4 linked regions of the Sus scrofa genome follow. The protein of the gene in region 1 interacts with the protein of each later gene in a biochemical or structural test. Links are inferred from orthologs where the notes say so. Each region holds a gene or a part of one and is shown in the gene's direction. Other genes may lie near its edges. The genes, in order: DDX58, RNF135, TRIM25 and RNF125.

What was found.
Region 2: of the proteins of DDX58 (region 1) and RNF135, one has a biochemical effect on the other in vitro, tested with the Homo sapiens proteins (6 studies listed by BioGRID, with this or other methods). The link is inferred for Sus scrofa from reciprocal best matches to the Homo sapiens genes RIGI and RNF135.
Region 3: of the proteins of DDX58 (region 1) and TRIM25, one has a biochemical effect on the other in vitro, tested with the Homo sapiens proteins (5 studies listed by BioGRID, with this or other methods). The link is inferred for Sus scrofa from reciprocal best matches to the Homo sapiens genes RIGI and TRIM25.
Region 4: of the proteins of DDX58 (region 1) and RNF125, one has a biochemical effect on the other in vitro, tested with the Homo sapiens proteins (3 studies listed by BioGRID and IntAct, with this or other methods). The link is inferred for Sus scrofa from reciprocal best matches to the Homo sapiens genes RIGI and RNF125.

Annotation. Positions count from the first base shown.
Region 1 is NC_010452.4:33,888,545-33,896,734, forward strand, and holds the start of DDX58 (probable ATP-dependent RNA helicase DDX58), read left to right. Parts: upstream 1-3,185; 5' UTR 3,186-3,266; coding exon 3,267-3,372; intron 3,373-8,190.
Region 2 is NC_010454.4:42,799,933-42,807,455, reverse strand, and holds part of RNF135 (E3 ubiquitin-protein ligase RNF135), read left to right. Parts: intron 1-3,081; coding exon 3,082-3,225; intron 3,226-6,686; coding exon 6,687-6,849; intron 6,850-7,523.
Region 3 is NC_010454.4:33,208,247-33,216,510, reverse strand, and holds the start of TRIM25 (E3 ubiquitin/ISG15 ligase TRIM25), read left to right. Parts: upstream 1-4,070; 5' UTR 4,071-4,171; coding exon 4,172-4,774; intron 4,775-8,264.
Region 4 is NC_010448.4:115,854,680-115,862,821, forward strand, and holds the start of RNF125 (E3 ubiquitin-protein ligase RNF125), read left to right. Parts: upstream 1-3,017; 5' UTR 3,018-3,381; coding exon 3,382-3,545; intron 3,546-3,614; exon of another isoform or gene 3,615-3,857; coding exon of another isoform or gene 3,858-3,973; intron 3,974-8,142. UniProt on the Homo sapiens protein: E3 ubiquitin-protein ligase that mediates ubiquitination and subsequent proteasomal degradation of target proteins, such as RIGI, MAVS/IPS1, IFIH1/MDA5, JAK1 and p53/TP53.

The DNA of each region.
Region 1 (8,190 bases):
TGATACCAGTCTTAAACAAACTTGTTTTATGAGACCAGCATAACCCTGAAGAGAAAACTACAGACCAATATTCCTTATGAATAAAATACAAAACATTAGCTTATTAAATCAGAAATATATTTTTAAGGAGTTCCTGTCGTGGCACAGCAGAAACAAATCCGACTAGGAACCATGAGGTTTTGGGTTTGATCCCTGGCCTCGCTTAGTGGGTTAAGGATCCAGCGTTGCTGTGCACTGTGGTGTAGTTCACAGACACGGCTCGCATCTGACATTGCTGTGGCTGTGGCGTAGGCCTGCGGCTATAGCTCCAATTAGACCCCTAGCCTGGGAACCTCCAGATGCTGTGAGTGCAGCTCTAAAAGGACAAAAAAAAAAAAAAAATTTTAAAGTGTGCTACATCATGACCAGATCCCAAGAATTCTAGGTTGGTTTAATATTAAAAAATGAATCAATGAAATTAAATATGTTAATATATTATTACCTCAATATATTAAAAAAAAAAAAGCTGAGATATTCAACACCCACTCATGATAAAAACTCCAAGCAAACTAGGAATACAAGAAAACATCAGTATCATAATGGGTATGTAAGAAAACTAACAGCAAACTTGTTTACCAAGTCCAAGCTCATATTCCTTGCAGCACAACAGGCCAATAAATAGATGAGTTGGGGGCAAGGAATAGCAACTTTATTTGGAAAGCCAGCAGAAGGAGCAGATGGTGGTGTCCCAAAGAACCATCTTGCCTGAGTCAGAATTCAGGCTTCTTTTATACTAAATGGAGAAGAGATGTAGCTGGTTGTTGCAAACTTCTTGGGGCGGGAATCCTTTGTTCTTGCAGCTATCCATGTAGGTCTGGTCAGAGTGTTATTATAAACCTCCAAGGCAAATATTGTTATATTCTCTGCAGCAACTTTTTATCTCTATATGAGTGGAAGTTTTTTACCTTGGAAGGTCAGAACCTTGAGAATGAGCTATCCCGTATATTTCAGGCTCGAGGCAACATTCTTTTGAGTATGAGGAGCTCTTGGTGCAGAGCCAGCATGGCTGAGCACAAGCAACAGAGCACACGTTTAGAGCTAAAGGAGTATATTCAATATGGAATCAGGTTTATTCTTCTCTGTTACAAATTTTGTAATTAAAGAATGTTTCCCTGCTGAGATTAGTAATAAGGTAAGGGTATCAACTCATCACTTTTATTCAACTTTCTATTGGAGACCATAGGTGTTGCCTTAAGGAAGGGAAACAAAATAAAAGGCATGAAGATTTGAAAAGAATAAAACCAGGTATTCACAAGTGACATGATTGTTTACCTAGAAAAATTTAAGAGATATACAGAACAATTACTAGAGCTAAGTAAATCAATGAATTGCATAATCCAAGTGAATTGTGTAATACAAGGCCAAGAAACAAAAACCCCTTTTATTTCTATGTACTAGCAACAAACACTGAAAATGAAACTTTAAAAACAATTCAATTTAGGGAGTTCCTTTCATGGCTCAGTCGTTAAGGAACCTACTAAGAACTATGAGAATTCGGGTTCCATCCCTGGCCTCGCTCAGTGGGTTAAGGATCCAGCATTGCAGTGAGCCGTGGTGTGAGGAGATGTGGCTGGGATCTCATGTTGCTGTGGCTGTGGTGTGGGCCTGGCAGCTGTAGCTCTGATTAGACCCCTAGTCTGGAAATTTCCACATGCTGTGGGTGTGGCCCTAAAAAAAAAAACCAAAAAACCCCTCAAACAATTCAATTTACATTAGCATCAAAGAACATAAAATAGTTAAGAATAAATTTAACAGATATGTATAAGATTTGTACTCTAACTACTATAAGATATTGCTGAGAAAATTAAAGAAGATTGAAATAAATGAAAAATTGTTCATGGATTCAAATATTGTTAAAAATGTCAAATCACCCCAGGTTCATCCAATATGCTTTTTTTTGGGGGGGGTAGGAATTGGCAGGTTGATTATTTCATAGTAAAATGCAAAGACCCCACAATAGTCAATATAATATTTACCCAAAAAAATAAAGCAGTATTAGCAAATAGATAAGTAGAACAGAATAGGCCTGCACATATACAGGCAATTGACTTTTTTTGACAAAGGTGCCAAGGCTATTATTCAACTGGAGAAGGAAACGTTTTCAACAAATGAAATAGTTTGTGGGGAACAATTAGAAGTATGGGAAAAAAAGAAGCCTTGACCCTTACTTAGCTCACACCACAATGAGATTAATCTGAGATATCATAACCTAAGTGTAAAAGCTAAAAACACAAAGATTCTAAAGGAAAACAGAATATCTCTATGGCTTTAGAGAAGGCAAAGATTTACCAAGGCAATAAATAAAACTTAAAAGAGAAACTGATAAATATCTTTGTGCTCAAAGGGCACTTTTTTTTTTTTTTTTCCGGCCTTTTATGGCCACATCCGTGGTATATAGAGGCTCCCAGGCTAGGGGTCCAATCTGAGCTGTAGCTGCGTCCACAGTGACGGGGGATCCGAGCGGCGCCTGTGACCTACACCACAGCTCAGGGAAACGGCAGGATCCTTAACCCACTGAGCGAGGGTAGGGATCGAACCTGCGTCCCCATGGATGCTAGTCAGATTCGTTAGCCACTGAGCCACGATGAGAACCCCTCAAAAGACACTTTTAAGAAAATAAGTCACAGCCTGGGAGAAGATATTTGGAGTGCAGATATGGCAAAACTCCAAGCCAAATCCAACAAACAAACACCAAACTGTCCCACGTGTGTATTTCCTGTAGGTGCATCACCTGTCGACCCCACGCCAGGTGGGAATGAGCCCCTGGACGGCCATTTTGGAAGGTGACGTCTTCCTGTAAAGTTAGACTCTGCCCTTCCGACCCACACAACTTGGGAAAAGTGGTTACACCGCATACATTTGCCAAAACTCAGAACTGTACGCTTAAAATCTGTGCATTTTACTGTATCTCGACCGCTGTAAAAGCAAAACGAAGAGAAGATGAACCTCAAAAAGCAATCCCCAGGGGTCCTCTTGGGGCGCTCTAGATCCGCGAGCGCCCGCCGGTTGGGGAACCACGCATCCGAGAAGAAATGAAACCGCGCTGGGAAAGTGAGGGCTCGGGGGTTGGGCCGGTTCCGCCCTTTCCCAACTCGTCGCAGTTTCGATTCTCGGTTCTTCAGCTACTCCGCCTCCCGGCGCGGGGTGCTTTTTAGGAGACTCCCGGCTCGCCGGGCTTTAGTGCAGCCAGGCGCAGACGAGGCGCGGCCAGAAGCTGAGCCGGCAGTATGACAGCAGAGCAGCGGCGGAATCTGCACGCTTTCGGGGACTATGTCAGGAAGACTCTCGACCCCACCTTCATCCTGAGCTACATGGCCCCCTGGTTTAGGGACGGTGAGTGCTTCCCAGCCGCTCCTGGCCCTTGGAGCAAAAAAACCCAGTTCAGGTCTTATTTCCCTCTTGCTTTCACCTGTTTTTTCACTCAATACTGGGAGCTTGCTAGGAAGGCCGGGTTTGTGGCAACATCTCCACAGCATTTTAGACGAGATTGTCGGAGTTTGAGGTGCCCGACGAGGTCAAGAAACTGAGTCTCAACGAAATGAAATGACTTGCTTAGGGGTGCACAACTGTTTACATTAGAAGCTGGGGAAACAAGTCACTGTCCGTTTTATTGGTTTCTCCTAATAGTTCCATTTACCGTGTGTTAGGCTTTGTGCTGACATCAAAGATTCAGAAATAAGATACAAGTCCTTCCTTAATATACTTTACAGTCTCAGAATTTGGAGGTGGGAGACGGTGATTACAGAGTGCAGTCAGAAGGCCAAGGATGTTGAGGCTTACTCTGCGGGACCTTATTTGCACTTGCAAGTAACTGGAAGCTTGAGAGGAGCAAGACTCCCTGGAGTGAAAGGCTCCAGGCTTCGATTCAGGTTGAATGTAGTTCATGGGGCCCATGATGATGGAGAATGGCCATTTTACCAATTTGTGTAGAAGTGCATGGTGGTGAGGTGAGCAGGGGCTTGGGGAATAGAGGGAGACAGTGGTGCCTGGAAGAAGTCGAGGTGAGAGAGGGGATCTGGCTCCCCTACAGAGCTTTCCTGCAGTGAGGCAATTTTTGGAAATTGCATTAAAGCAGGCAGGTAACTTGAGAGCTAACTGCTGTGTAAAACCAAACCACAGGCTGTGGAGTGAGAGGTGAAAGAATGCCACCAACATAAATGGACCCCTCCACACCACCCCACCCTTGCTTTCTAGTTGTGCTTAGAGAGAAGTAACAAAATAACATCATAATAACCACAGAGGAGCTTGGGTCCTTGAAGACTCTAAGTTGGACAAGACCTCTGTATCTCTTTTAGAAATCCTTGGAATGAGTGACACCTAATAATCATATTAATTTCCTTTTTCCCATGCACTTGTGTATTGATTCAATAAGCCAGAACTCATGTGTCAGGTATTAGGCTAGCTTTGGAGGGAATTTACACATATTACTAGACATATTGTCTAATAGGAAGTGTTCTGTTGGGAACTGAGGGATCTATAGAAATGGTTCCTGTCCTGAGAGAGAGCAGAGAGCATGTGTGAATGCATGTAACCAAATCAGTAAAGTGTGGTGAGTGCTTTGATGGAAAACCATAGTGTGCTATGGGAGTGCATAGGTGGAGTAGTTTTTCAGAGATAGTAATTTTAATTTATAGTTATAATACAATCACAATAAAAACACCAAAGGTAAGTTTAAAAAAAGTAAGCTGAAGAACATTTTGTATACTCTTTTATTGTTTTGTTTTGTTTTAGGGCCGCACATGTGCATATGGAAGTTCCCAGGTTAGAAGTCTAATTGGAGCTACAGCTGCCTGCCGGCCTACACCTTAGTCACAGCAACACCAGATCTGAACACCGCAGCTCACGGCAACACCAGATCCTTAACCCACTGAGGGAGGCCAGGGATTGAAACGGTAACCTCATGGTTCTTAGATTTGTTTCTGCTGTGCCATAAGGGGAACTCCTATACTGCCTTATTTTTGAATGTCAAAGATATCATAGAGTTTTTATTTTGAGCCCTTCCCCAGAGGCAACTGTTTTCATTTAGTTTACACCTTTCCTGCTTCTTTCTTTATAATTTATCACAAAAACTTTTTGCTTTCTCCCCATCTTTCTCTGTTTTCTATTAGATTGATAAAGTTTCTCTATCTCCTGCTTTTTTCTTGGCTGCCTTAGAAGTTCTGATTTCTGTTTTAACTTTACTTGTGACAAATATACTTTATCAGTCAGGATTCAGTGAGGATTCAGGGTTCAGAGACACTAAGGAGCATTATGGCTGGATAGAAGCTTTTTGACTTATTTTTTTGCTTTCGTTAGAAGGCAGTGGGAACTTTTATGCCCATACAGAAGTTTCCCGTGAACACCGCCCCCCCATATATTTAAAGTACATTAACAACATCCACTGTCTTACTGTGATTCCTCTCTCCACATGTTGGATATTGTGCATGAGTGGCCTCTTGGGAAAGGAGCACTGCAGCCATGTTTTTCCCGGAGCGCTTGCTTGGTTACTGGGGTGCTCTCGGGCTTGGCTTATTCACAGTTATCCAGGATGTTTCAAGGTAAACCTGGGTATGGGTTACAGATTTTTTGCAACATCCCTTTGGAGTCAAGCCTAACTCTTATCCAGCAGGGGCACTGGTGGGCAGTATTCTAAGCACTTGTCCATTCTCTCAGCAACATATTCTAGACACATGCATGAGGCAGGTACTTTGTTGATGATGTGAAGAGAAAGATGAGTACAACATGCTCACAGTCACCCTCTAAGGGAGAGGATGCCTCCCCCCTCCCTGCTCGATGAGGACTCTACACTATTCAGTGTTAGCACTCCAATCAGAAGCATGGAAAGACAGCAAGAAAGCGCAGGAAAGAGATCAATAAATTCTGTCTTGGGAAGCTGAGGATGGCATCACAGAGTGGCCAGGAAGGCAAAAGGAGTGGGAGATACTGACTGCCCCAAATGCCAGTTCCCAAGCATTCAACTCTCGGTGCTTTTGAGGAAAGTAGCACAACCTAGTAGCAGCAGATATAGGGGCCAGGTAGCAGCAGGCTTGGCCCAACCATGTGCAGAGTGAAACTAAACGGACCAGGGTATGGTGAGGCATCTTACCTGGGAAAGTCTCAGCTGTGACTGGACCAACCTAGACCTCCATGTGGAGAACCAGTAATAGCTGGTAAGTAGCAGGGATGCCTGGAAACAAGAACCCAGCTGTAAGGACTGGGTTTAGGAATAGAATTAACTCACTCAAAGGAACAGGGTAGGATTGTGTGCCCAAGGAAGCCGGGATAGGTGACAACATAGGTTACAGTTATGGATTGAATTGTTCCCTCCTCCCCAAAAGATATATTGAGGTCCTAACTCCAGGGCTCAGAATGTGACCTTATTTGGAAAAAGGATTTTTACAGAGGTAATTAGTTAAGATGAGGTCATACTGGAGTAGGCTGTGTTCCTGATCAAATGGGACTGGTGTCTTCATACCAAGACTGCCATGTGCAGACACAGAGAAACAAAGAGAAGGCCATGTGAAGACAGAGGCAGAGATTGGAGTGATACAGCCACAAGCCAAGGAATGCCAACAGCTACCAGGAGCTGGGAGGGGCAAGGACTATATATGGTCCTCTAGAGCTTTCAGAGGAAGTGTGGCCCTGCCAGAACCTTGGTTTCAGACTCTAGCCTCCAGAACTGAGAGAATACTGTTGTTTTAGCCACCCAGTTTATGGCAATTTGTTACTGCAGACACAGGAAACTAATATAGGTGGTGGAAATTAAAAAGACAGGGGAGTTCCTGATGTGGCCCAGTGGGTTACAAACCCGACTAGTACTCATGAGGATGCAGGTTTGATCCCTGGCCTCACTCAGTGGGTTAAGGATCCAGCATTGCTGTGAGCTGTGGTGTAGGTTCAGACACAGCTCGGATCCCTCATTGCTGTGGCTGTGGCGTAGGCCAACAACTGTAGCTGCAATTCGACCCCTAGCCTGGGAACGTCCATATGCTACAGGTGTGGCCCTAAAAAGCAATAAATAAATAAATAGGCAGACAATGAAAAGTGTTGGCAAGGATATGCAGAAATTGGAATCCTCATAAATCGCTGGTAAAATGGTAAAGCTCCTTTGAACAATGGTTTGGCAATTCCTTACAGTGCTAAATGTGGAGTTGCCATAGGAACCAGCAGTCCTAGATGTATACTCAAAAACAATGAATACATATCCACTCAAAAACTTGTACATGAATGTTCATAGCATTACTATTCATAAAAGACAAGCTGTAGAAACAACATAAATGCTTCTTAACTGATGAATGGATAGAATTGGTGTATCCATACGGTGGAGTATTATTCAGCATTAAAAAGGATTGAATGATACATGACACAGTATGCATGCACCTTGAAAACTGTGCTAAGTGAAAGACCCCAGTCACACAGAACATATGCTATACGATTCCATTCATATGAAATGTCCAAAATAGGCAAATCCATAGAGACTCAGTAAATTAATGGTTGCCTGGGCTAAGGGGAGGGAAAATGGGGAGTAAGGGTTAGTGCATACAAGATTTCTTTTTACAGTAATGAAAATGCAGTAAAATCAGATAGTTGTGATAGATTTACGACTCTAAAAACCATTGAATTTTACACTTTATTTATTTTTATTTTTATTTTTTATATTTTTAGGGCAGCACTAGAGGGATATGGAGGTTCCCAGGCTCGGGGGCAAATCGGAGCTGTAGCTGCTGGCCTACACCATAGCCACAGCAACATGGTATCCAAGCCACAGCTCATGGCAACGCTGGATCCCCAACCCACTGAGCAAGGCCAGGGATAGAACCTGCGTCCTGATGGATGCTAGTCATATTCATTTCTGCTGAGCCACGAGGGGAACTCCTGAATTTTACACTTTGAAAGAGTTTGTTTTGTTGTTGCCGAGACAGAGACCTTGGCAGGGAAGGAAGGCATTCCTTCCTTCCTTTCATTCATTCACATACTTTTGTTGAGTCTATGTATATTAAATGGTAGATCCTCTTCTAATCTCTGAGAATATGGAGGTTAACCAGCCAGACAACTGACTTACTCCCCTGGAGTTTCCATTCCATTGACAGGGAGAAAAATTGGAAGATTATCAAATGTAAAATCATACAAAGGCAGCAATTTGGTCATCACCCCAGACATGGAGTTAGTTTA
Region 2 (7,523 bases), on another chromosome or scaffold:
CGCCCCCTTTCTGTCCCAGCTCCAAGTTAAGTAAAACAAAGGTGAGCACCCTGTGTCCTTGCTTCAGGTAGTCCCCAGCCAGGTTAGGACAAACCTACACAATGATGTGTGAATAAAATAAAAGTAGACTCTCCCGCTCTGAGAACCAGGACTGGGATTTCACTGAGAACTTTCATTGAACTAGGGACAGAGCACGGCAAAGGCGTGTCAAAACACTGCAAAGCGTTCCTCCTACCAGATTGCTCTTTGTTGGTTAAGTGTTTTCCAGAGTTCCAACAGAGTTGGTTCTGACAGTTTCTGCTTGTTTTGCAGTGTGTGTGTGTGTGTGTGTGTGTGTGTGTGTAGGGGGGTGGAGGAGTGGGGATTAGTGGGGAGTCAGGGTAAAAGAGCTTAGAGCTGCCCACTCCTCTTTTTCAAAAATTAATAGATGTTATTTTATTTATTTATTTGTCTTTTTTTTTTTTTTGCTATCTCTTGGGCCGCTCCCACGGCATATGGAGGTTCCCAGACTAGGGGTCGAATTGGAGCTGTAGCCACCAGCCTACGCCAGAGCCACAGTAATGCCAGATCTGAGCCGAGTCTTTGACCTACACCACAGCTCATGGCAACGCCAGATCCTTAACCCCCTGAGCAAGGCCAGGGATCGAACCCACAACCTCGTGGTTCCTAGTCAGATTCGTTTCTGCTGTGCCATGACGGGAACACCTAGACTTTATTTTTTAAAGCAGTTCTAGGGATTTCCTGTTGTGTCGCAGTGGGAACAAATCTGACTAGTATCCAAGAAGATGCATGTTCAATCCCTGGTCTTGCTCAGTGGGTTAAGGATCCAGCATTGGCATGAGCTGTAGTGTTGGTTGTAGATGTGGTTCAGATCCCTGAAAGTTGCTGTGGCTGTGGAGCAGGCTGGCAGCTGTAGCTCCCGTTTGACTCCTAGCCTGGGAACTTCCATATGCCATGGCCTTAAAAAGCAAAAAAAAAAAAAAAAAAAAAAAAAAGAGGCAGTTCTAGATTTTCAGAAAATTGAGCAGAAAGTCCCCTCATACTCCTGACATTTTCCCTTATTATTAATATTTTGCATTAGTTTGGTACATTCATTGAACAGGCCTATGGGGTTTGACTCAGTGCATGGAGTCATATATCTACAATTATAGTATCACACAGTTGTACTGCCTTGAAAATCCCCTATGCTCTGTGTATCCTCCACCCCAACCCCTGGCGTTCACTGATTTTTTATGATATCTCTTTAGTTTTGCCTTTTCCGGACTGTCATCATTGGAATCATAAAGGATCTAGTTTTTGCAGGTTGGCTTCTTTCACTAATCACAATTAAGGTTTGGGGCTTGATCGCTCATTTCTTTTTATTGCTGTAAAATATTCCATTGCATAGATTTACCATAGCTTATTCATTCACCTTTTGATAGACACGTTGGTTGCTTCTGTTTTATTTATTTTTTAGTTATGAATAAAACTGTTCTTTTCTTTTTGATTATAAATATAGTATTGTCCCTCAGGTCCTTAAAATTCTTACTAATGTAGTTTATAATGATTGAATATACTTTCAATTGGCTTTTAAGTTAAAATGATTGTCTATGGATGGTAGGACATTGGATGATTTAAAACATTTCTTCTGAAGTTCCCATTGTGGCACAGCAGAAATGAATCCAACTGGGAGCCATGAGGTTGTGGGTTCAATCCCTGGCCTTGCTCAGTGGGTTAAGGATCTGGCATTGCTGTGAGCTGTGGGGTAGGCTGGCAGCTGTAGCTCTGATTGGACACCTAGCCTGGGAACCTCCATATGCCACGGGTGCGGCCCTAAAAAGCAAAACAAACAGACAAACAAAATTTATTCTTTCACATTCTCTGCATTTTCTAAATTCACCTCAATGAGTGTGCCCTTTCTTTTACGGATAGAGAAAGCAACACACTTTTTTTTTTTTTTAAATTTTAATTTGCTCGTGTACCTAGATAAGGGCTCCACTCCTGAGTTCCAACTGCCTGAATATTTAGGAGACGTGGACATTTAACAGCAAACCTCATTACTGGTAGTTAGCCACCTCCCTCTATAAAATAGTATGCATGTGGCTTCCAAAACACATGCCATTTTGAGGGACATTGGTGCTTCTTAGAGATGAAAAAGGTTCTGGTTCCAGTTTTCCAGGTTCCAGCATAATTTAAAAAATGTCCTCCCAAAGTTATCAAAACTCCGGTTTATTTAGAGTTGGGTGGCTCTACATCAGACCCCCTTTGGAGGTAATACAAATTCTTGGGCCCTGCCTGCCTCTGATGACTGTCACCAGGTCCTGAGCTTGTTGCCAGACTATGTTGGCCACGAAACGTCCTCCCACTCCCCCCAGGCAGCTGAGCAGATTAAGCTCTTGAATGGGTGTCGCTGAGCGTTCCCATCTGAACGTCTCTTTAAATGTGAAGGATGGCAATAAACAAACACGAAGAGCTTGCAGCTGTACTTCACTTTAAAGGCTCCAAGATCCTTCCCCATAGATCCTTCTCACTGTCGAAGAGAAGGAGGGATGGTGGCGTTCAGTTCTGAAAGGCACGATGAAGACACGGGATGAGTCAGAGGTGAGGGCGGAGCTTAAACTTTAACCAGATGCTGAAACCCACTCACCTGATGACCTGCCACACGTGCTGCCGAGTCGCTGGGCTCTCGCAGTGGTTCCTCTCTGTCTCCTCCTGTTCAAAAGGACCCCTAGGCTTCCCCTCATGCCTCACTCCCACCCCACTCCCCATTTTTGTTACTTCTTTGTCTGCTTCCTTTATCCAGTGTTGTAGCTCCCTCCATCTATAGTTGGTTCCTGAGTCCAGCTTTGTGTTCTGCTTTGTTCTATGTTTAAGGATTTTTATTTTTTCCATTAGATTTGGTTTACAGTGTTCTGTCAATTTCTCCTGTACTGCAAAGTGACCCAGTCACACATATGTATACATTCTTTTTTCTTACATCATCTTCCATCATGCTTCATCATAAGGGACTAGATATAGTTCCCTGGGCTATACAGCAGGATCTCATTGCTTATCCACACCAAAGGCAATAGTTTGCATCTATTCTGCTTTGCTCTTTTAAAGGTGGCGGCGCAGAAGAGCATCACAGAAGTTGGCCGGGAGCTGGCAGAGCTGGTGGACCAGCTTGTAGATACTGTCAGGAGCCTTCAGAGCCAGAGCTGCCTCCCAGAATCCGAACCAGACAAGGACCTGAGGACCCTGGCTTCGGTAGGCTCATCTGGGAGAAGAAAGAATGGCCCAGGGGGCGGGGCCAAGGACAGCCCGCTGGCATGGCTAGGGAGCAACAGAAATGTTTGCAGGTGAAGGATGCAGTGAGTCCCAAACGTTTGCCATGCTCTTCATGGGAACGTGGATGGTTGGGGATGTGGAATGCTTGAGGAGAGCTAGGGGAATGCCAGGAGGGCCAAGTCCCATCCTTATCTTGCCACCTTAACCAGCTCTAAGGTCTCCAGTGACCTCCATGCAAATCCCCCGGACATTCCAGCTCTTATCCTCATTGGCCTTTCAATAGACTGTGACATAGTCCACCACAGCTGCTTTCTTTAAAAAAATTTTTGTTTATGTTTTTGCGTAATTGTAAAAGGTTATACTCCATCTATAGTTATTACAAAATACTGGCTATACTCTTCATGTTGTACAAGGATGGGGAACAGCCTTTCTCACTCTCGGTGGCTTGTACCTTCCACTCCCCTCTCCCCACTGGTAACCACTAGTTCGTTCTCTATATCTGTGAGCCTGCTTCTTTTCGCAACTCCATTCTTTTCTTTATCCCCACAATTTTTTTTTTTTAGGGCCACACTCGCGGCAGATGGAAGTTCCCAGGCTAGGGGTCAAATCGGAGCTGCAGCTGCTGGCCTGCGTCACAGCCACGGCAATGCCAGATCCACGTCTGCAACCTACACCACGGCTCATGGCCACGCCAGACCCTTAACCCACTGAGCGAGGCCAGGGATTAGACCTGCAACCTCCTGGTTCCTAGTCAGATTGTTTCCACTGCACCACAACGGGCGCTCTGGGAATGCTTTTCTTTTACGCTCTTACGTAGGTAATGCCTGCTCCATATTTGGACCTCAGCTAAATTATCAATTCTTAGGAGATGCCTTCACTGATTCCTTGAACAAGTCAAATCCCCCATTAGAGGCTCTTATGTATGTGATTCCATGGACCTTTCATCTGTCACAGTTGTGACTTGATAATGAATGATTGGTGTCATAATTTATTTTATTCTTATTTTTATTTTTTGGTCTTTTTGTCTTTTAGGGCCGCACTGGTGGCATATGGAGGTTCCCAGGCTAGGGGCTGAATTGGAGCTGTAGCCGCCAGCCTACACCACAGCCACAGCAACGCCAGATCTGAGCTGCATCTTGGACCTACACCACAGTTCATGGCAACACCAGATCCTCAACCCACTGTGCGAGGCCAGCGTTTGAACCCATGTCCTCCTGGATGCTAGTCGGGTTCGTTAACCACTGAGCCATGATGGGAACTCTGGTGTCATAATTTATTAATGTCTTTCATCCTTCCTCCCTTGCATGGGACTTTAAGCTTTATGAGGGTAGAGACCTTGATGGCACTTATTTTTTCGTTCGCCCTTGTTTTCCCAAGCCCAGCACAGTGCTTGGCACATAGTAAGTGCTCAGCAAATACCCACGATATTTGAATGAGTGAATAAACGGGTCCTTAGGGATACAAGGTGTTGTGGTAGAGGTCTGAGAGTCTGACTGTCAGTTGTGACTTTGCAGCTCACTCGTGGTATGACCTTGGGCAAGTCATTTCATCTTTTTGAGTCTCAGGTTTCTTTCTTCCTCCTCCCCTCCCCTCCTTCCTCCCCTCCTTCCTCCCCTCCCTCCTCCCTCCTTTCTTTCTTTCCTTCCTTCCTTCTTTCTCACAGCATACACAAGTCCCCAGGCCAGGGACTGAACCTGTGTCACAGCAGCAACCCAAACCACAGCAGTGACAATACTGGATCCTTAGCCTGCTGAGCCACCAGGGAACTCCCAAGTCTCAGGTTTCTACCTATAAAACAAAAACAATGATCCATGGCCAGCACCTCATTAGTTTGATGCAGAGATTTTTAAAAATCTTGTTTAAAAAAGTACTTGAGCAACATGGGAATGAGGGATGATCAAATTCACTTTGGCAATTTAGTTAACTTCCATGAACTTCTTTTGTAAAGTGGAGACAGTGAACCTATCTTGGAAGGCTGTTAGGCAAATTAGAGGGGAGCAGTGGAAAATACTCAAGAGACGATGCCTATGCTTGTTATGATTGGTGAAAAGAATGGGAAACGGGGAGCTCCTGTCATGGCCCAGTAGAAACGAATCTGACTAGGAACCAAGAGGTGGCAGGTTCAATCCTTGGCCTTCCCTCAGTGGGTTGCTATGAGCTGTGATGTAGGTCGCAGACACGGCTCAGATCTGGTATTACTGTGGCTGTGGTGTAGGCCAGCGGCTACAGCTCTGATTCGACCCCTAGCCTGGGAATCTCCTTATGCCTCAGGGAAATGGATTTTGCAAAGTTGAGAAAGAAAGTCTCATGCGCAAGGCGGGAAGGTGGTGAGCAGGTGAGGGGCTGTGCTGGGGAATCATAGAACCTGAAGTTAAAGAAAAAGCAGGGAGGAGTTCCCACTGGGGCTCAGCCGGTTAAGAACCTAACATGATGTCGGTGAGGATGTGGGTTCGATCTCCAGCTTCACTCAGTGGATTAAGTACCCAGTGTTGCTGCAAGCTGTGGTGTAAGTCACAGGTGTGGCTCAGATCCAGTGCAGCTGCGGCTGTGGCCTGGGAACTTCCATAAGCTACAGGTGTGGCCATTAAAAAAAAAAGAAAGAAAGAAAGAAAGAAACTCAGGGAGTGCATCGTGTTGGAGGCCCCAGAGATCGGGGCCTGGTTGCAGGCAACATGTCTGTGTTGGCCCTTGGGAAGAGTTATCATATAATGACAGCAGCAGTCCAGGGAAGATTATTTTGGCCTCTGAGGCTTATCTTAGTGGCCATCTGTACTACTTATTTTGTAAAGCCCCTGTAAGACAGGTCTAGGACTTCCTTTGGGCTCAGTAGGTTGAAGATCTGGTATTGTCACTGCAGCTTGGGTCGCTGCTATGGCATGGGTTTGATTCCAGGCCATGGGTGCTACCAAACAAACAAACAAACAAAAGGATGAAAAAGTCGCACCTAAAAAGTTTAAACTTTTTTGGGATATGAATGGAGAAATTCATATCTGTTGTAGAAGATACTAGAAAATACATAGCAGTTTAAGAAAACAAATAAAAATTGTCTATAGCCCACCACCCAGAAATAGCCATTCTTTAATATCTTGGCTCCAGTATGTATTTTTCCAGGTTGTTTTTCAAGGCACGTATTTTGAGAACCTAATTAGATTTGGAAAAACCCAAACTTACTTAGGAAGTAAGTAGAAACTTAGAGATAGATGGCAGAACTGGAATATATTTGAAGCATTCCTTGGGAGGTTGTTTTCCACAGCCACAGCAACACGGAATCCGAGCCGTGTCCGTGACCTACACCACACTCACGGCAACACCGGATCCTTAACCCACTGAGCGAGGCCAGGGATCGAACCCTCGTCCTCATGGATGCTAGTCGGGATCACTAACCTCTGAGCCATGATGGAAACTCCAGTTTTGTCTTGTTTTTCATGACTCATCAATAGGCCTTGTCCGATGGCGTAGACCTTTCCTTGGCGTCTCCAAAACTGGTGACTTCCAACACACCTGAGGCAAAAATGAGAGACATTCTCCATGACCTTAAAAAGATCCAGGGAAAGTTACAAGAAAATTTCACCTGGAAAGGGGCCCTCGAAGAACAAAAGCAGGGTGAGTTGCTTTTATTTTGTGGAGAAGGCTTAACTGTGGAAGCTGAGCAAGTGTTCCAGGGCTTTATTATTTGGGGACAGGAACCCAGAGGCCAGCTGCGTCGTCCCTGTGGTGTGAGTGAGGATGGAGTGGCTGAGGTATTTTTGTGGCCAGATGTGTTTTTGGACCTGACTGGACATGAGATGTAACCCAGGCCCTTCGTAGATAGAACCTGGTTTTCTAAGACCTAAAATCCAGAACTTGGACCTGATTTTGCAGCTCACTGTGCGTCTGTGTTACCTCCTGGAGGAGTTTCAGAAATAGATGGCTTTGGAAGTTCCCGTCGTGGCTCAGCGGTTTAGGAATCTGACTAGCACCCATGAGGGTACAGGTTCCATCCCTGGCCTTGCTCAGTGGATTGCCATGAGCTGTGGTGTAGGATGTGGCATTGCTGTGGCTGTGACTCAGGCCAGCAGCTGCAGCTCCGATTGGACCCCTAGCCTGGGAACCTCCATGTGCCATGGGTGCGGCCCTAAAAAGCAAAAAAAAAAAAAAAAAAAAAAAAAAAAAGCAAAAAAAAGAAAAGAAAGAGGGAAAGAAAGAAAGAAATAGATGGCTTTTAATTTTTCACTAGTAAATGTCCTTATTAACAAAGCATGAAACTTTGTAAACAGTTTTATTTATTTGGTTTTTTG
Region 3 (8,264 bases), on another chromosome or scaffold:
CCCAGGCTAGGGGTCGAATCAGAACTGCAGCTGGGGCCTATGCCACAGCCACAGCAACACCAGATCCGAGCCTCATCATCTGCAACCTATGCCACAGCTTGCAGCAGCGCTGAATCCTTCACCCACTGGATCTTCAGCATAGAACTGAGACCAGGGATTGAACCCACATCCTCAGGGATACTAGTCAGGTTCTTAACCTGCTAAGCCACAATAGGAACTCAAAGAGGTGGTAAATGAAGTTGTTTTTTTTTTTGCTTTTGTGAATGAAGTTTAAATGTAATAAGAGTCTCCTATTTTATATATTCATTCTAAATACATTGTGGTAAATTAAGGATGCATTTTATAATCCCTAGAACAACCATCAGAAATATAATAAAAAGAAGTATGGGCACATGGCCCATAAGAGGAAATGAAAATGAAATGTATAGCCTACCTGATTAGTCCAAAGGAAGACTGGAAAAGAGGGACATAGGAACAAAAATCAAAGAGACAATGAAAGAAAAAACAGATAGAGTTTTATTAGGCCTAAAATTTATATGTTGAATACAAATGGACTAAACAGGAGTTCCCGTCGTGGCGCAGTGGTTAGCGAATCCGACTAGGAACCATGAGGTTGTGGGTTTGATCTCTGGCCTTGCTCAGGGGTGAAGAATCTGGCATGGCCGTGAGCTGTGGTGTGGGTCGCAGATGTGGCTCGGATCCTGCGTTGCTGTGGCTCTGGTGTAGGCTGGCAGCTACAGCTCTGATTCGACCCCTAGCCTGGGAACCTCCATATGCCGTGGGAGCAGCCCAAGAAATGGCAAAAAGACAAAAAAAAAAAAAAAAAGAAAAAGAAACCACCAAAAAACAAAAAACAAAAAAAAAACAAATGGACTAAACACTCTAATTAAAAGGCTAAGATTGTTAGACTGAATAAAAAAGCAAGACCCAACCATGTTCAGTCTAGAAGAGACACATTTTAAAAATAAAGACACGGAGAAATAGAAAATTAACAGTATAGGAAGCTAGATCATGCAAACCATAAAAAAATTAGTGTGACCATATTGCTACAGGACAAAGTAGTTTTTTTTTTTTTTTTTTTTTGTCTTTTGTCTTTTGTTGTTGTTGCTATCTCTTGGGCCGCTTCCGAGGCATATGGAGGTTCCCACGCTAGGGGTTGAATCGGAGCTGTAGCCACCGGCCTACGCCAGAGCCACAGCAACGCAAGATCCGAGCCGCGTCTGCAACCTACACCACAGCTCACGGCAACGCCGGATCGTTAACCCACTGAGCAAGGGCAGGGACTGAACCCGCAACCTCATGGTTCCTAGTCGGATTCGTTAACCACTGCGCCACGATGGGAACTCCCCACAAAGTAGATTTTAAGTGAAAGATTATTGTGAGAGATAAGGGGCGACTTTTAATAAGAAATATATCAAATCTGTGATGTGTGTGTACTTGTATTAATTTCCTAGGGTTGGAGTTCCCATCGCAGCTCAGTGGTTAATGAATCCAACTAGGAACCATGACGTTGCGGGTTCGATCCCTGGCCTTGCTCAGTGGGTTAAGGATCTGGCATTGCTGTGAGCTGTGGTATGGATTGCAGACTCGCCTCGGATCCCTCGTTACTGTGGCTGGGGTGTAGGCCAGGGGCTACAGCTCCGATTTGACCCCTAGCCTGGGAACCTCCATATGCTGAGGGAGCGGCCCAAGAAATGGCAAAAAGATAAAATAAATAAATAAATAAATAAATAAATAATTTCCTAGGGTTGCTATAACAAAGCACCACAAACAAGGAGACTTAAAACAGAAATTTATTCTCTCACAGTTCTAGAGGCTAAAAGTCTGAAATCAAGGTGTCAGAGGGCCATGCTTCCTCTGGGACCTGCAGGAAAATCTTTCTTGCTTTTTCCTTGCTGCATCCAGCGCTGCAGGGAAACGGGGAATCCTGGAAGAGAAGAGGGACAGCGTGATATAAACAGAACACACAAGACTCTTACATTTAGAAAGTGGGGGACCAGGGGGCACTCCGTTCCGTAGAACAGAGGCGCCTAGGCTTTAGCCCACATGATTTTTATTAAGGAAGGTGATGAGATTATTATTATTAAGGGGATTAAGAAAGGTGACAAGATTAGTGGGCAGAGAGAGGCATTGGCAATAACGAGATTCTCATCTTAGTAATAGCAAAGGGGGTAGCCTTAGGACATAGTGGAGCTGTTTATAGAATAACATGGTTAATGCATAAGTCCTTCACCTTGTCTTTGAAGGAGACTCTGTACTTAAAACTCTGAGTCCATAGATATTTGCCTTCTGCAGAGTTCTGCTGTTCCGTGGTCTCCAACATTTCCCAGCTTATAATGATTTTCCAGTGATCTTTGGTGTCCCTTGGCTTGCAGCTACAGCTCTGCCTTCGGTGTCATCTGTGTTTGTCTCCAGATGGCATTTTCCATCTTAATTGATTACAACAGCAAAACTATTTTCAAATAGGGTCATATTTACAGATACCAGGGGTTAGGACTTGAACATATATTTTGGGAGGATACAATTCAGGGCATAATAGTGCCTAATAACAAAGCTTATAATACTTGGGGAGGGGGCACAAATACAAAGTGAGAAGGAGACAAGCTGTTATCATATCGGAGATATTAACATCCTGTCAGTCTCAACCTATTTCAAAAGACAAACATCTTAGGTCGTAGAGCTGGCTCAAATAGAATTGTGTTAGAAATCAGTAACAGTAAGATACCCAGGAAAGTGTTAAATATTTGGAAATGAAGCCATCTCCTTATAAGTAATTACAAATAAATAACAAAGGAAATTAGAAAATATTTTGAGTGGGAGTTCCCGTCGTGGCACAGTGGTTAACAAACCCGACTAGGAACCATGAGGTTGAGGGTTCGATCCCTGGCTTTGCTCAGTGGGTTAAGGATCCAGCCTTGCCGTGAGCTGTGGTGTAGGTTGCAGACGCGTCTCGGATCCCGCGTTGCTGTGGCTCTGGCGGAGGCAGAGGCTACGGCTCCGATTCGACCCCTAGCCTGGGTGGGAATCTCCACATGCCTCGGGAGCAGCCCTAGAAAAGGCAAAAAAAAAAAAAAAAAAAAAAAAAAAAATATTTTGAGTGAAATGATAATGAAAACACATATATCAAAACTTGTGGATGGAGTTCCTGGGTGGTGCAGCAGGGTAAAGATCTGGCGTTGTCAGAGCTGTGGTGCAGATTCAGTCCCTGGCGCTGTAACTTCTGCAGGCCAAGGGAGATTGACAATCTAGATTTATAGTTGTAAACATTTATATTAGAAAAGAAAAAAGTTTAACAGCAGCGATCCAATGTGCCAACTTAACGAATTTGAAAAAGAGCAAATTAAACCAAAAGTAAATAGAAGGAAATAAGAGACATGAGAAGAAATCAATGAAAAAAAGAGCAGAGAAGCCAAAAGTTGGATTTTTGGAAAAAATTAATAAAATCCATAAAATCTATTAGATGGCTTAAGAAAAGAAGGGAAACCCAGATTACTTAGATCAGGAATGAGAGAGCGGTGATTACTACAGATTCTACTGACATTACCCCCGGGTGTGACCCTGCCTGCAGAGATTGAAGGCCGATATGCCAGAGCCCAGGACCAGGGAAGAGGAAGGATGGGGTTTTTTTAAATAAGAAAAGGCAGCGAATACTTTACTGTTCCCACAGTTATTTTTGAAAGACCTGTCTTGATGAGACAGCCTTGCTCGCGGGGGCGGTGGGACAACTTGGGTCTGGACGAGTTTTCGGAAGGAACGGATCAGATCCAGGCGCGTTTGTGCTGTAGTCAGTCCCCTGACTGCTGGGATCCCGGGTTCTCCACGCAACGTGTCAGTTTTCTCATCCGCAGAGGGGCCGTAAGATCCCCCCTGGTGGTCCAGAGTCTCGTCTGAAACCCTGAGCCCAGCGCCCCGTACCCACACTCCGCGGGAGCCACCGGGATTCGAACGTCGCCAGTCGGACCTCAGCGACCCCTGGACCCCGCCCGCCCCGGGACCCCATGGGGCCCGTTCCACCTCCGCGCTCAACCCCACCCTACCCCACGTGACTTCCTGAAAGGCCGGGGGACCGCCCCTCCTGCAGCTCAGTTTCGTTTCCTTGGAGGCATCGGGGCGATAGCGCAGCAGTCGCGGCAGTTCCCGCGCGTCACGTCGGGTCCCCTCACGGAGCGCCATGGCGGAACTGTGCCCCCTGGCCGAGGAGCTGTCATGCTCCATCTGCCTGGAGCCCTTCAAGGTGCCGGTCACCACGCCGTGCGGCCACAACTTCTGCGGGTTGTGCCTGGATGAGACGTGGGCCGTCCAGGGCCCGCCGTACCTGTGCCCGCAGTGTCGCACGGGCTACGAGACGCGGCCGCAGCTGCGCAAGAACACCGTTTTGTGCGCGGTGGTGGAGCAGTTCCTGCAGGCCGAGCAAGCCCGGCCCGCGGTCCTCGACAGCGATGGCTGGACGCCGCCCGCCCGCGCCGCCGCCTCCAGCCCGGCCGGCCAAGTGGCCTGTGACCACTGCCTACAGGCGACCGCCGTCAAGACTTGTCTCGTGTGCATGGCCTCCTTCTGCCAGGAACACCTGAGGCCGCACCTCGACAGCCCCGCCTTCCGGGACCACCCGCTGCAGCCGCCAGTCCGAGACCTGATGCGCCGCAAGTGCCCCCAGCACAACCGGCTTCGAGACTTCTTCTGCCCTGAGCACAGCGAGTGCATCTGCCACGTCTGCCTGGTGGAGCACAAGACCTGCTCGCCTGCACCCCTGAGCCAGGCCAGCACCGACCTGGAGGTAGGAGTGGTGGCCCAGGGCACAGAGGGGCAGCCTGGGGCTACTGGGTTGTGCAGAGGGCACCACAGTGGGCTACCTTGGATCACCCCGGGGCGAGGGAGGGGCCTTGCTGGGCCTGAGATGGGGCAGGGGCTTGGGGGTTTCAGGGTAGAAAGGGGCTGGGAGAAGGTACAAACTTCCTCTCATTCCGGGTTCACCTCCCCTATGCCCACCCCACTCACCCATTTTACAAAGGGAACCACTGAAGACTCATGCTTGCCTTAAGCCTAGCACTTGTCTGATGATGTTTAGAAGAGGGTTTTGAAGGTCAGATATAGTGCTGGAGGTTACCTCTGTTCTCTCAATAAATCCTGATAGCACCTGGGAGGTGGGTACCATGAGTTCCATTTTACAGCTGAGGAAGTGGAGGTTCAGAGAAGGTCATTTAGCCTGAGCTAACCCAAGTGGCCAAGGGGGAATTGAGCTGCCATCTGGGCTGCCTCCACAGTTGCCTTTTCTCCCCATGGACCAGCCTCAAAACCAAGTCCGCAACATTCAGAGTGTGAGACACTTCTGGAGGTTTGTTGGGGGTCATGTGCGAAAAAGCCTTTGGTGAGCCAGAGACTTCTAGTGACCAGGGAGGATCGTGTTGAGTGGAAGGGTGGGCAGCGTCCCAGGAATTCTTGGATATGATGCACAGGGAGAGCCAGACTCTTGCGCCATAGAGCCCTCTCTCCTGCCTGGCCACTTTTCAGTCCGGGATTGGTCTTCATTCCTAAAGCGAGGAGGTGGGGCCAGGTGGATTCTTAAGAGGGCTTTTGGATCTGTGATGCTTTCAGTGGTTTTGGGATCATAATTTCTCCCTGTGGACTCAAGGCAGAGGCTGAAAAGGTGTAGGCAAAGTTTTGTTATCTAAGCTCAAAAGTGAGGCCTGATTTCCTTTCTCTCATGAGGACTTGTTAAGGGGAGCAAGAAGGGCTGTCCTTATGCTGGCAAAGGAGATATAAGCCCTGTGGCACCAGGACCTGGGTGCAGGCCTTGCTCCCAACTGGCCACAGCCCACCCCTGGCCTGGTCTGCTTCTCCAGTCTGCCCTGGGTTCCTGTGGACTTTCTCCCTGAGTCCCAGGAACCAGGCCTCAGGCAGTGCCTGGCCGGTGACTTTGGAGGTACAGTCATCTCAGGTCTGGCCCACCCAGGTCTCCACCTGCTGCAGGGAAGACCCTGGCTGGTCTTTGGAGCCTGGAGCCCTGCTCTGCCCTGCTAGCGGTGGTTCAGGGCAAGTCCCTGTCGTTCTCTGAGCCTCAGTTTCTTCATCTGTAAAATGGGATTCCTAGCATTCCCTCCCCTGTTTTGGGTCGTCTTGAGCTGTGTGGGAAGTGCTTTGTAGGCAGGCCCTACGGGTCAGGCTGCTTAACATGGGCTGTGACCAGAGCTGGATGTTGAGACCTGGGTTTGGATTCTGGCTCTGCTTCCTAGCTGGGAACTCATAAAAGGGGCCAATAGCAATACCTATCTCAGAAGGCTACCGGGAGGATTGAATGAGGCGACCCATAAGCTGCGTTTTACAGTGAATGCTTTGTAGAGCTGCCGTTATCGTTTAAGCTGCTCAGAAATGCCCGGAAGAGAGTTTGCTGTGTGGACGGTGTCAGGCTGCCTGGATCCTCTTTGCCTCAGGGTGTGTGAGCCTGAGTTCTAGGGCAACCCGGCTCCTGTGGAGTGGCCTTCTAGGAAGTTCCGGTCATGGCTTAGCAGTAACGAATCCAGCTAGTATCCATGAGGACATGGGTTCGATCCCTGGCCTTACTCAGTGGGTTAAAGATCTGGCGTTGCCATGAGCTGTGGGGTAGGTCGCAGATGTGGCTCGGATCTGGCATTGCTGTGGCTGTGGTGCAGGCCAGCAGCTACAGCTCCAATTAGACCCCCAGCCTGAGAACTTCCGTATGCTCCTGGTGTGGCCCTAAAAAAAAAAAAAGAAGAGCCCTTCTAGAAGTTTTTGTCTAGGAGGCAGAAGGCAAGTAGGGGCAGAAAGGCCCTTCTCAGCCTGGTGTGGAGCCTCAGCTTCCTCAGCCTGCAGGGTCTGGAGCTGGAGTCTGTCACTGGATTATTTGTGTGCCCTACACGCTTGGCTTTTTAATCCTTGTCACAGGCCTTCCTCTGCCACCCGCCCCCTCCCCCCACCTCCACTACCTCCCAGTGTCCTAGCTGGCTGTGACCTTTAACCCTCTCCTTTTCCAGCCCTACTGCTGGTCCGTACTGGTGGTGGAGCCAAAGCCGGCCCAGCTTGGCTCAGTCACTGGTGCGGGGTGGACTCGGGCCTCTGGGTCCCACATCGAGGCATCAAATCCCCAGTTTGTGAAGGGATCCTCAGAACTTCGAAAAATCCCCTTCCCTTGATTCGGGCATTGTCGCTGCTATCAACATCTTGGCGGCTTTCTTTTTGTCTATAGCCGTCTACCATCAGGGGACTGTTGTATACAGTTGATTAATGGTGGGCAAAATCTTTCAGAATAATAAGTTCAGGGTCTTGCTAACAGTGGGTCTTGGAGGTGAAACCGTTGGTAGCTCCCAGGTGTCCTGAGGTCTCTTCCAACTCCAAGACCAGTGAGACCAGATCTTCCTGGGCCTGACCTTTTTTTTTTAACGGCCACACCTGTGGTTTATGGAAGTTCCCAGGTATGGGTGGAAGCGGAGCTGCAGCTGCTGGCCTACGCCACAGCCATAGCCACACAGGATCCCAGCCATGTCTGCGACCTATACCACAGCTCATGGCAACACCGGATCCTTAACCCACTGAGCAAGGCCAGGGATCGAACCTGTGTCCTCTTGAATACCAGTGGGGTTCATTACCACGGCGCCACCATGGGAACTCCTGGGCCTGACCTTCTGCCTTTGGCCAATAGTTTATCTTGGCCACTGTTAGAGGCCAGGTCAAAGCACACTGTTACAGAGGTCACATCTGAAATGTCATCAGTGACTTGGGCTTTTGGGTTGAATTAGGTTGGCCTTGGTCTCTTCCAGCTGTTACATGTGACTGTCACTGGGTTGTTCAAGAGTCAAGGTCAGGTTCAGCCCTGCAGAGCTCTGGTGGAGTGGGAAAGGCCATGAAATGGAAGAGAGGGCCAGAGTATTGTTGAGCCAGCCTGTTAGGGAACATATATTTTTTTCCCTAGAAATTTCCCGTGTGCTTAGTTTGGACATGAGTCTGTAATTGTAACACCCATGAATCGCGATGTGACCTGGGGCAAGCCACTTAAATACTCTGTGCTTCAGTGATCATCTATAAAGGATGGATAACCCTTACCTCCTCGTGTTGTTTTTAGCTTTACATAGTTAATATGTGGAAAACCGAGAACAATGCCTGGCTTGGAGTAAGTACATGATAAACATTAGCTGCCATTATTGTGGTGGTGATTTTCCTACTCAGTTCTATGCCCCAACATTTTGCCTGAGAAGGGTGAAATTCAGATACTGATTATGGAAATTTATGGAAATACTAAGAGGCTTCAGATA
Region 4 (8,142 bases), on another chromosome or scaffold:
GGCCTCACTCAGTGGGTTAAGGATCTGTCATTACTATAATCTGCAGTGTAGGCCACAGATGAAGCTCGGCTCTGGTGTTGCTGTGGCTGTGGTGTAGGATGGCAGCTGCAGCTCCGATTTGACCCCTGGCCCAGGAGCTTCCAAATGCTGCAGGTGCGGCCATAAAAAGAAAAAGAAAAAAATAAGTAAATAAATAAACTGGTAGCTGGTCCTGGGAATAGAGAAAAATGAAACAATTCAAGAACAATTGAGAGATACATGGGTGGTAGAATTGCAACTGTTGATTGGGATTGATTCAATGTGTATGAAGAAGAAGAAGAAGAAATCAAAGATGGCTCCCAGGTGTCTGGACTGAGCTACTTAGGCAGATTATGGTGCCATTTACTAAGACAGGAATAAACAACTGGATGTGGAACAGGTGGGAAGTTACTCTCATGAGTACAGCATTGGGCATGTTCAACTGAAGGTGCCTGAAGCAACCAGGTGATTATATCAAGTAAGAAGCTGAGCATTTGGATGTCTAGAGAAAAGATAAAGATTTTGGAATCTAGATGGTAACAGAGTCTGTGTGATTTTTGAGATTCTTAAGCAGGGAATGAGTGATCAGAAGGAAAAAGGTCCCAAGAGAGAATCCCATGATCTCCAGCACTTAGCTTTTTCATGGAACAGAGGAGGCCAGTGAAGGAGACTGAGAAAGAACAGCCAGAAAGAGTGAAGAAGAGCCAAATCATGTTTCTACAAGAGGGAGTGGTCAACACCGATGCATATAATTGAGAGGTTGAGCAAGAAAGGGACAAAAAAGAGCCTGTAGGATTTAGCCACATAAAGGTCACCCACTGGTGATGTTGGTGATCAGTTTTTGGACAGATGAAGGTAGAGTGGTCACTCCAGAACACAGGATGGACTGCATAAGGAAGGAGGGGGGTAATTAAGAAATGAAGACATAGGAGTTTCCACTCTGGCACAGTAGGTTAAGAATCCAGCTGCAGCAGCTCAGGTCACTGCAGTGGCTTAGATTCAATTCCCAGCCCAGTGCAGTGGGTTAAACCAGCCAGTGTTGCTACAAGGTAGGTCACAGCTACGGCTTGGATTCCAATCCCTGGCCCAGGGAACTTCCATATGCATTGGGTGTGGCCATAAAAAAAAAAAAAAAAAAAGAAAGAAAGAAAGAAAAGAAAGAAAAAAAGAAAACATAAAAGGAGAGAATCAGGTCAAGAAATTTGGCCTTAGGAGTTCCCATAATGGCTCAGTGGTAACGAATCCGACTAGTATCCATGAGGACTTGGGTTTGATCCCGGCCTTACTCAGTGGGTTAAGGATCCGGTATTGCCATGAGCTTCGGTGTAGGTCACAGACATAGCTCGGGATTCCGTGCGGCTGTGGTGGAGGCTGGCAGCTACAGTTCTAATTTGACCCCTAGCCAAGGACCCTCCATATGCTGTGGGTACAGCCCTAAAAAGACGAAAAAGAAATTTGGCCTTAAAGAAGACACAGAGCAAGACCTGAGGGAAATGTGGGATTAAGGGAGGGATTTTGCTTATCTTTTACAGATAGGAATTGCTATCTTTCCTTCACTCCTATCCAATTTATCAGCAAGCCATTTTAAGTCTTCTTCTTAATATACCCCAAAACCTGTCTATCTTTCTTGTGCTACCCAGGTAACTCCCTGGTTCTGGTCATTATTATCCTCCCTTGGACTAATTCAGTAGCCTCCTAACTGGTTTCTCTGCTTCCATTCTTGTTCCTGTCTTTTCCAAACCACACTGCAGTCAGAGTAAATCAAATCACAGCACCTGGAATAAAACCCAAATTCTTGGTCCTACCCTGTGTAGGATTGGGGGGTAGATTAGGCCCCGTCTCTGCTTCTTTCTGGCTTTTGTTAGTGGTGTTCTTGCCTGGCTCCATATTCCAATGCTTGGCAGGCTTCTTCCTAAATCTATGAGTGGCCGACTCCTTTTCATTATTCATAACTCTGCTAAAATGTCACTGCATCCAAAAAGCCTTCCCTGACAGTCTTATCCTTTACCCCCCTCACTCTGTTTTATCTTCTTGGCTCTTATCATCTGAAATGAACTTGTTCACTTGTTTATTTGTTGATTACTGATATCTTTTCATTAAAAGTAAAGTCTGGGAAAAACTGGGTGAAGTTTATCGGATTGTTATGTATTATGGTCTGTGTATATTGCCTACGTAGATTATGTATTACCACGGACGATTATTATTATTATTATTGTCTTTTGCGAGCTGCACCCGCAGCATATGGAGATTCCCAGGGCTAGGGGTCTAATTGGAATTGTAGCCACCCGCCTAAGCCACAGCAACGCCACATCCGAGCCGCCGCCGCTGCGATCTACACCACAGCTCACGGCAACGCCGGATTTTTAACTCTCTGAGCGAGGCCGGGGATGGAAGCCGCAACCTCATGGTTCCTAGTGGAATTCGCTTCCGCTGAGCCACGACGGGAACTCCAGATTATTTTTTACAATAAGAGTGTGAATCTATAATTACCTCCAAAAAAAATCTTTTTAAGGTCTGTTAAGACTGGGCTTTTGTTTGCTTGTTGGAAACTGTCCACTTCACCAGAAAGGAGTCTGGCATACAGCGGGCACTAAATAAGTCTTATTAAATGAGTGAATTAATAAATGATATATTTGGTCGTATTCAGGAGGATGGAGAGGGGAATACAAACAACATCAGGCGATCCTAAGGTGAGGAAACTGGGCCGGGGGCGGGAGTAGGAGGGGTCCTAGGATTTGGCACTAGCATCCCTGCCCTGGGGTTGGGATTCGAGTCCAGGTCCCAGAACTCTCTCCACTACTGCAGCTACCTCTCCTTTATGGATTGTTCATTAGGTGACTGAAGCACTGATGAGCACTTTCTTAGAAGACGCTCATAGCTCAGCTCTGTAGCCTCTTATGATCACAACAGTACAGCACTGATAGGGCCATCACCTTACAAGTGGATGTGCTCTGATTCCCTGCGCACATGACCACGCCCGCTCTTTCATTCACTTCCTACAGTGGTTCGAAGAAGGATGCGCGCACTTGGCTGGAAGGTTCACTGCCTTACCAGGTCCTCTGCTCTGCAGTTGAGGTGTCAGGTTTCAATCCTCCCAGGGGCCCGGGACGTCGCAGCGTGCAATGTGCGGCGGCCGCCTCCGCCTCCACGCCTCAACTAAGGCAGCTGGCAAAAGCTAGTCTCAGACGCGCGGCCGCGCACTCGGCGCCGCGGCGGAGGCTGCTTCTGAGCTGCACTGGCTGGGCGCGCTGGGAGGCGGCGATCGCAGCTGGGCCGGGACTTCCTTCCTCCACCGCTGGACAACAAAACAAGCAGGCAGCAGGCACCAAGCTCTTGGCCGCTGGCTGGGCGGGAGGCGCAGCAATGGGGTCGGTGCTGAGCAGCGACAACGGAAAATCCGCGCCCGCCTCGGCCACCCCACGGGCCCTGGAGCGCAGGGGGGACCCCGCGCTGCCCGTCACGTCCTTCGACTGCTCCGTATGCCTCGAAGTGTTGCACCATCCCGTCCGGACCCGCTGTGGCCACGTGTAAGTGCCAGGGAATCTGGGTTGGCACGCCCATCCCTTGGGGAGAGCGATGTTAGGGAAGCGGTGGGATGGGAGGGAGGAAGGGTGGTTCCAGAATACAAAGCTTGAAGGAAACTGCTGCAGGAAGAGACCTGGACCCGTCGGATGCGGTTCATGGGATAAGGCAGAAGGTGACACAGGGTTTCAGGAGGAGAAAACAGCAACAGGCAGCCCCCTAGAGCCGGCTCCTCCTGAAGTCCAGGTGCGGAGACCCCGAGATGGGGAATCCGGGCGCGCGAGCCGCGGGGAGCCAGGGCTCGCCTGCCGCGGAGGATGAGCTTGCTGGAGAAGCAGCACCCTCCTGGGCCCAAGGCGGAGGACTCCCTCAGAGCAGTTATCGCGCTCAACTCAGTTAATCCGAGGTTCTTCCTTCTCCGCCCAGAACCCAGGTTGGTTTTGTTTTGCGGGCTCTGTGCACGTGTTCCAGAACGCCCGCTGAGGTCTCATGAGAAAAAAAGGGGGGGGGGGCCTCTGTCCTTCCTTCCCCACCTCCCTTTTCCCAACTCAGACACCCAAATCCCTCAAAAATCATCAAACTGGACCGTCCAAGTGACTTTCTGTAGTGGTTAGAGCTTAACAGCCCTCCAGGGTGGGGTCTGGGGCTTGAACCTTACCCCTCAAACCGGGGAATGGAGCCGTTTAAAACCCAAGTAACCAAGTGGCGGAGGTTGCAACAGACTACCTGCCTTGCGCACCGCCTCCCACATCGGTAGGAAGTAGAGATAAAAATAACTGTCTTAAAAACCACATGCATACTCTTTAACTAAAATTCGCTGTTAGTGCACAACCGTGGTAGTTTCTAGGAAGAGTTTAAAAACAAAATCCCTGTGTAAAATTGGCACGTCCTTAATGTGTTAATGTGTGCCTGAATAAATACTAGTGGGAGTTGGGTCTGTGAATTTGTGTGTGCCTGAATGTGTGAGGGTGACTTGTGGGGGGAGGGATTGCGTAGAGCAAAAGTGAAAACTTACCCAATGTCTTCTTTGGCCCGCGGACTAGTTTGGTGACGCTCCAAGGCAGTATCCTAATGCTAATAAGCACTTTTTGGCTTACCAGGAAAAAAAGAAGTATCATATTATAAATGCAAGTGCACAAAATATCTTTAAGGGATCTAGGTGGTCCTTGACACCTATAGCCTAAGCAACTGAGAAGCAGTTTTTAACACTGAAAAGCCCAGAAGAAAGCCAGAGAGAAAAAAATCTGCAGCCCACACAATGTTTAAAGAAAGAGTACCCTGAGCATTATTTTGTGGCTGTATTTTCAGGGCCTGTTGTTTCAGCTTTGTACTTTAAACTCAAGACTAATTTACCTCCTGTCTGATTACTGATGTTGCCCAGCTGTCCAGATGTAGCTCATTGACATAATTCCCCAAGGCCAAGACAGGAAGCCAAGATGTCATTGTGTAGGGTATGAAATACATTGATTAGCTCAGGTCAGAAAGAACCTCAGGATAACTACATTTAAATTTAGTCTAGATTAGTGTTAAAACTTTTAAGTTGTACCAGAGACAATTGGGTAGCTTTGCAACTGGAGATTGTTATCTGATTGTTTTCCCTGGTTTGGATTTTGAATGCTTATAACTTGTTTGCATTGTTTTGCTTCTGCTAAAGGGTAATATAAATTTGCAAAATGTTAAATCTTTTGTTTGGTCTTTTTCTTTGTTAGAATGAATAGGAAACTAGCAACTGGAAAAATAGTCATGAAGTAGCAAGCACAACAAGGGCTGGATAAATTGCCTTCCCTCACTTTACTGTTCTTTGTTTTGACAAATCTATGTCCATTGTTCTGGCCGTAGGCAGGATTTCCATATTCCTCCTTTTGGCAAACTTACTTGGGCCCCTTCCACTTTACAAATGTTAACTAGAGTCCCTTCTGCACTGGAGATAGTGGGCTCTCTTTAACACCATTTGTCCTTCCTAAATGAATTACTTTCTTCCACTGAACTTAATTGGAAAATGAGGAAATGCAAATGAACCTCTGTGTTATCTCATATATAAGCTAATTATAAACCTATTCAAGTCAAGCAAGTGTAATGGCCACGGTACCTTGAATGAATATGTATATATGGATTGCGATGTAGTAAATCAGCGGGCGTGATAGAGAGCAAAGTCTGAAAATCAACCCCACCACTAACTAGCTGTGTAACCACCACATTGCTTGGTCTTTTTGAATCTCAGTTTCTTTATTTGTAAAATAAGGTGGGTAATGGAATTTTTATGAATACTTAAAACGCCTATAGTAAGACTCAAAACATAGTCTCTGTCTCCATCAAAGTCTTTTCCTAAAACAAGGAAACCCATGAATCGATATTATTTCTTATCTTTTTGTTCTTTTGGGAATAAAACTGGGCCAAAACCAGAGATCTCTGACATTTCCAAGATGTCCCTCATAGCCTTACTTTTAGCTTGGTTCTTTTTTCCTTTAGTGGACTTGAGGAAGTTCCATTTTAATGTTCCATCATTTCAAACTGACGTTATTCTCATCGCATATCAGTTGTAAAACTAGATTTGGGGGGCAGCAGTCTTATCAGTGAGCTGGGGAAAGAGGGGGTAGATGAGTTGAAACTGTCTAAATAAAACTTAAAGGAAATCTGATTTACATTTGAAAGAAATGTTTAAAGAAATTCGGTGTCCAATTGGTAGATGCAGAGGTAGAAAAAAGTCAAAGACTGAGCCAAAGGGGGCAGAGTTTAGCTCAGGATTCCTAAATCATTAATGAACTCAACAATTAAGCGTATTGAATGTACAGAAGTCTGATAGGGAGACATCTAAATGGAAGTACCCCCAAGGCACTGGGAAAGTGGGATGGGGAAGGAGGTCAGGACTAGAACTAAGGGAGTTTCTGAAAAGGGTCAAGAGGTTGAGAATGGGCCTAAGAGAGCTCCGTACAAACTGGAGCAAACCATTCTGTACAGAGAACCACATCTCCATTGAACTGAGTTGGGTCGAGTTGCTCGAAGTCACAGAATTTGCCTAATATTTTAAATGAAACGAGGATAATTCTGAAATGCTTTTGGGTAAATGGATTAAAATGTTCCATTTGTGGCCAAGTATGAGGACCAAATTAGTAGTTCTCTAAGTAGAGTCTGAAGGTTTCCTGATGCTTTTAAACTGATCCAGTAATACACATCAGTGCTTTCATTCTTTTTTTTTTTTTTTTTTTTTTTTGTCTTTTTGCCTTTTCTAGGCCCCCTCCCATGGCATATGGAGATTCCCAGGCTAGGGGTCCAATCAGAACTGTAGCCACTGGCCTACGCCAGAGCCACCGCAACTCGGGATCCGAGCTGTGTCTGCAACCTACACACCACAGCTCACGACAAGGCTGGATCCTTAACCCACTGAGTAAGGCCAGGGATCAAACTCGCAACCTCATGGTTCCTAGTCCAATTCGTTAACCACTGTGCCATGACAGGAACTCCTACAGCATTATATTTGTTTCATGTGTGTAACATATGGTAAATATTTTGGTAAATCTTGCAAAATGATCACCAACAGTCTAGTTAACATTGGTCAGAATACATGGTTACAAAATTTTTCTTTCTCTCTCCTTTTTTTTTTTTTTTTTGGCCATTTCTGCAGTATGCAGAAGTTCCTGGGCCAGGGATCGAACCCCTGGCCACAGCTGTCACCAGAACCACATCAGTGACAATGCCAGATCCTTAACCCACTGAGCCACAAGAGAATTATGCAAAATTTTTGTTTCTTGTGATCATAACTTTTAAGATCTACTCTCTTCAGTGTCTTCCAAATAAGCAATACAGTATTATTAACTGTAGTCACCGTGCTGTATATTACATCCCATGACTTATTTATTTTATAACTTAAAGTTTGTGCCTTTGGACCCCTTTCACTCATTTTATTTCCAGCACCCACAGAGCTGTCATTCTTATGGATGTGCAATCCCAAAGACTTCTTTTTAAACCTAAGATTAAAGCTTCTTATCCTATTATTTATTATAGATATTTATTACTTATACATATTCTATCAGTGAGAGTTATCCAGAGAAATAACCCATATGTAGGTTATACATATTTATGGAGAGAGAGAGAGAAAGAAAAAGAGAGATTGATTTTAAGGAGTTGATTTACATTATTGAGGATAGCCTCTCTAAAATCAACTGATTATAGATGTTAACAACAGCTACAAAAATACCTTCACAGAAACACTTAAATGTTGGATTAAACAACGGAGAACTATAGGCCAGCTAAGTTGATACATAAGACTAACCATCACAGCTTTTCAATGAGTTTTTAAGGGTTGTTAAAATCTGGTGATCAAAAACAAAAATTAGATCATTATCAGGGGTTAGTAGAAGACTCCTCTGAATTCTCCCAAAAAAATTTGGCTATCAGGCAACCATGCACATGCCTACACATTGCTCAAGCACATGATAGGAATCCTGGTAGGAATCCACAGTTTCCTTTAAATTAAAATCACTATTCATTTAGCTTCATCATTACCATTTTGGTTTGCTGTGGGTTGTTTGGTTAGATCTACTATTGCATGGGGTGCATTCATTTTTGATCAGGTGTAGATGCAGGTGGTTGAATTGAAGTAGT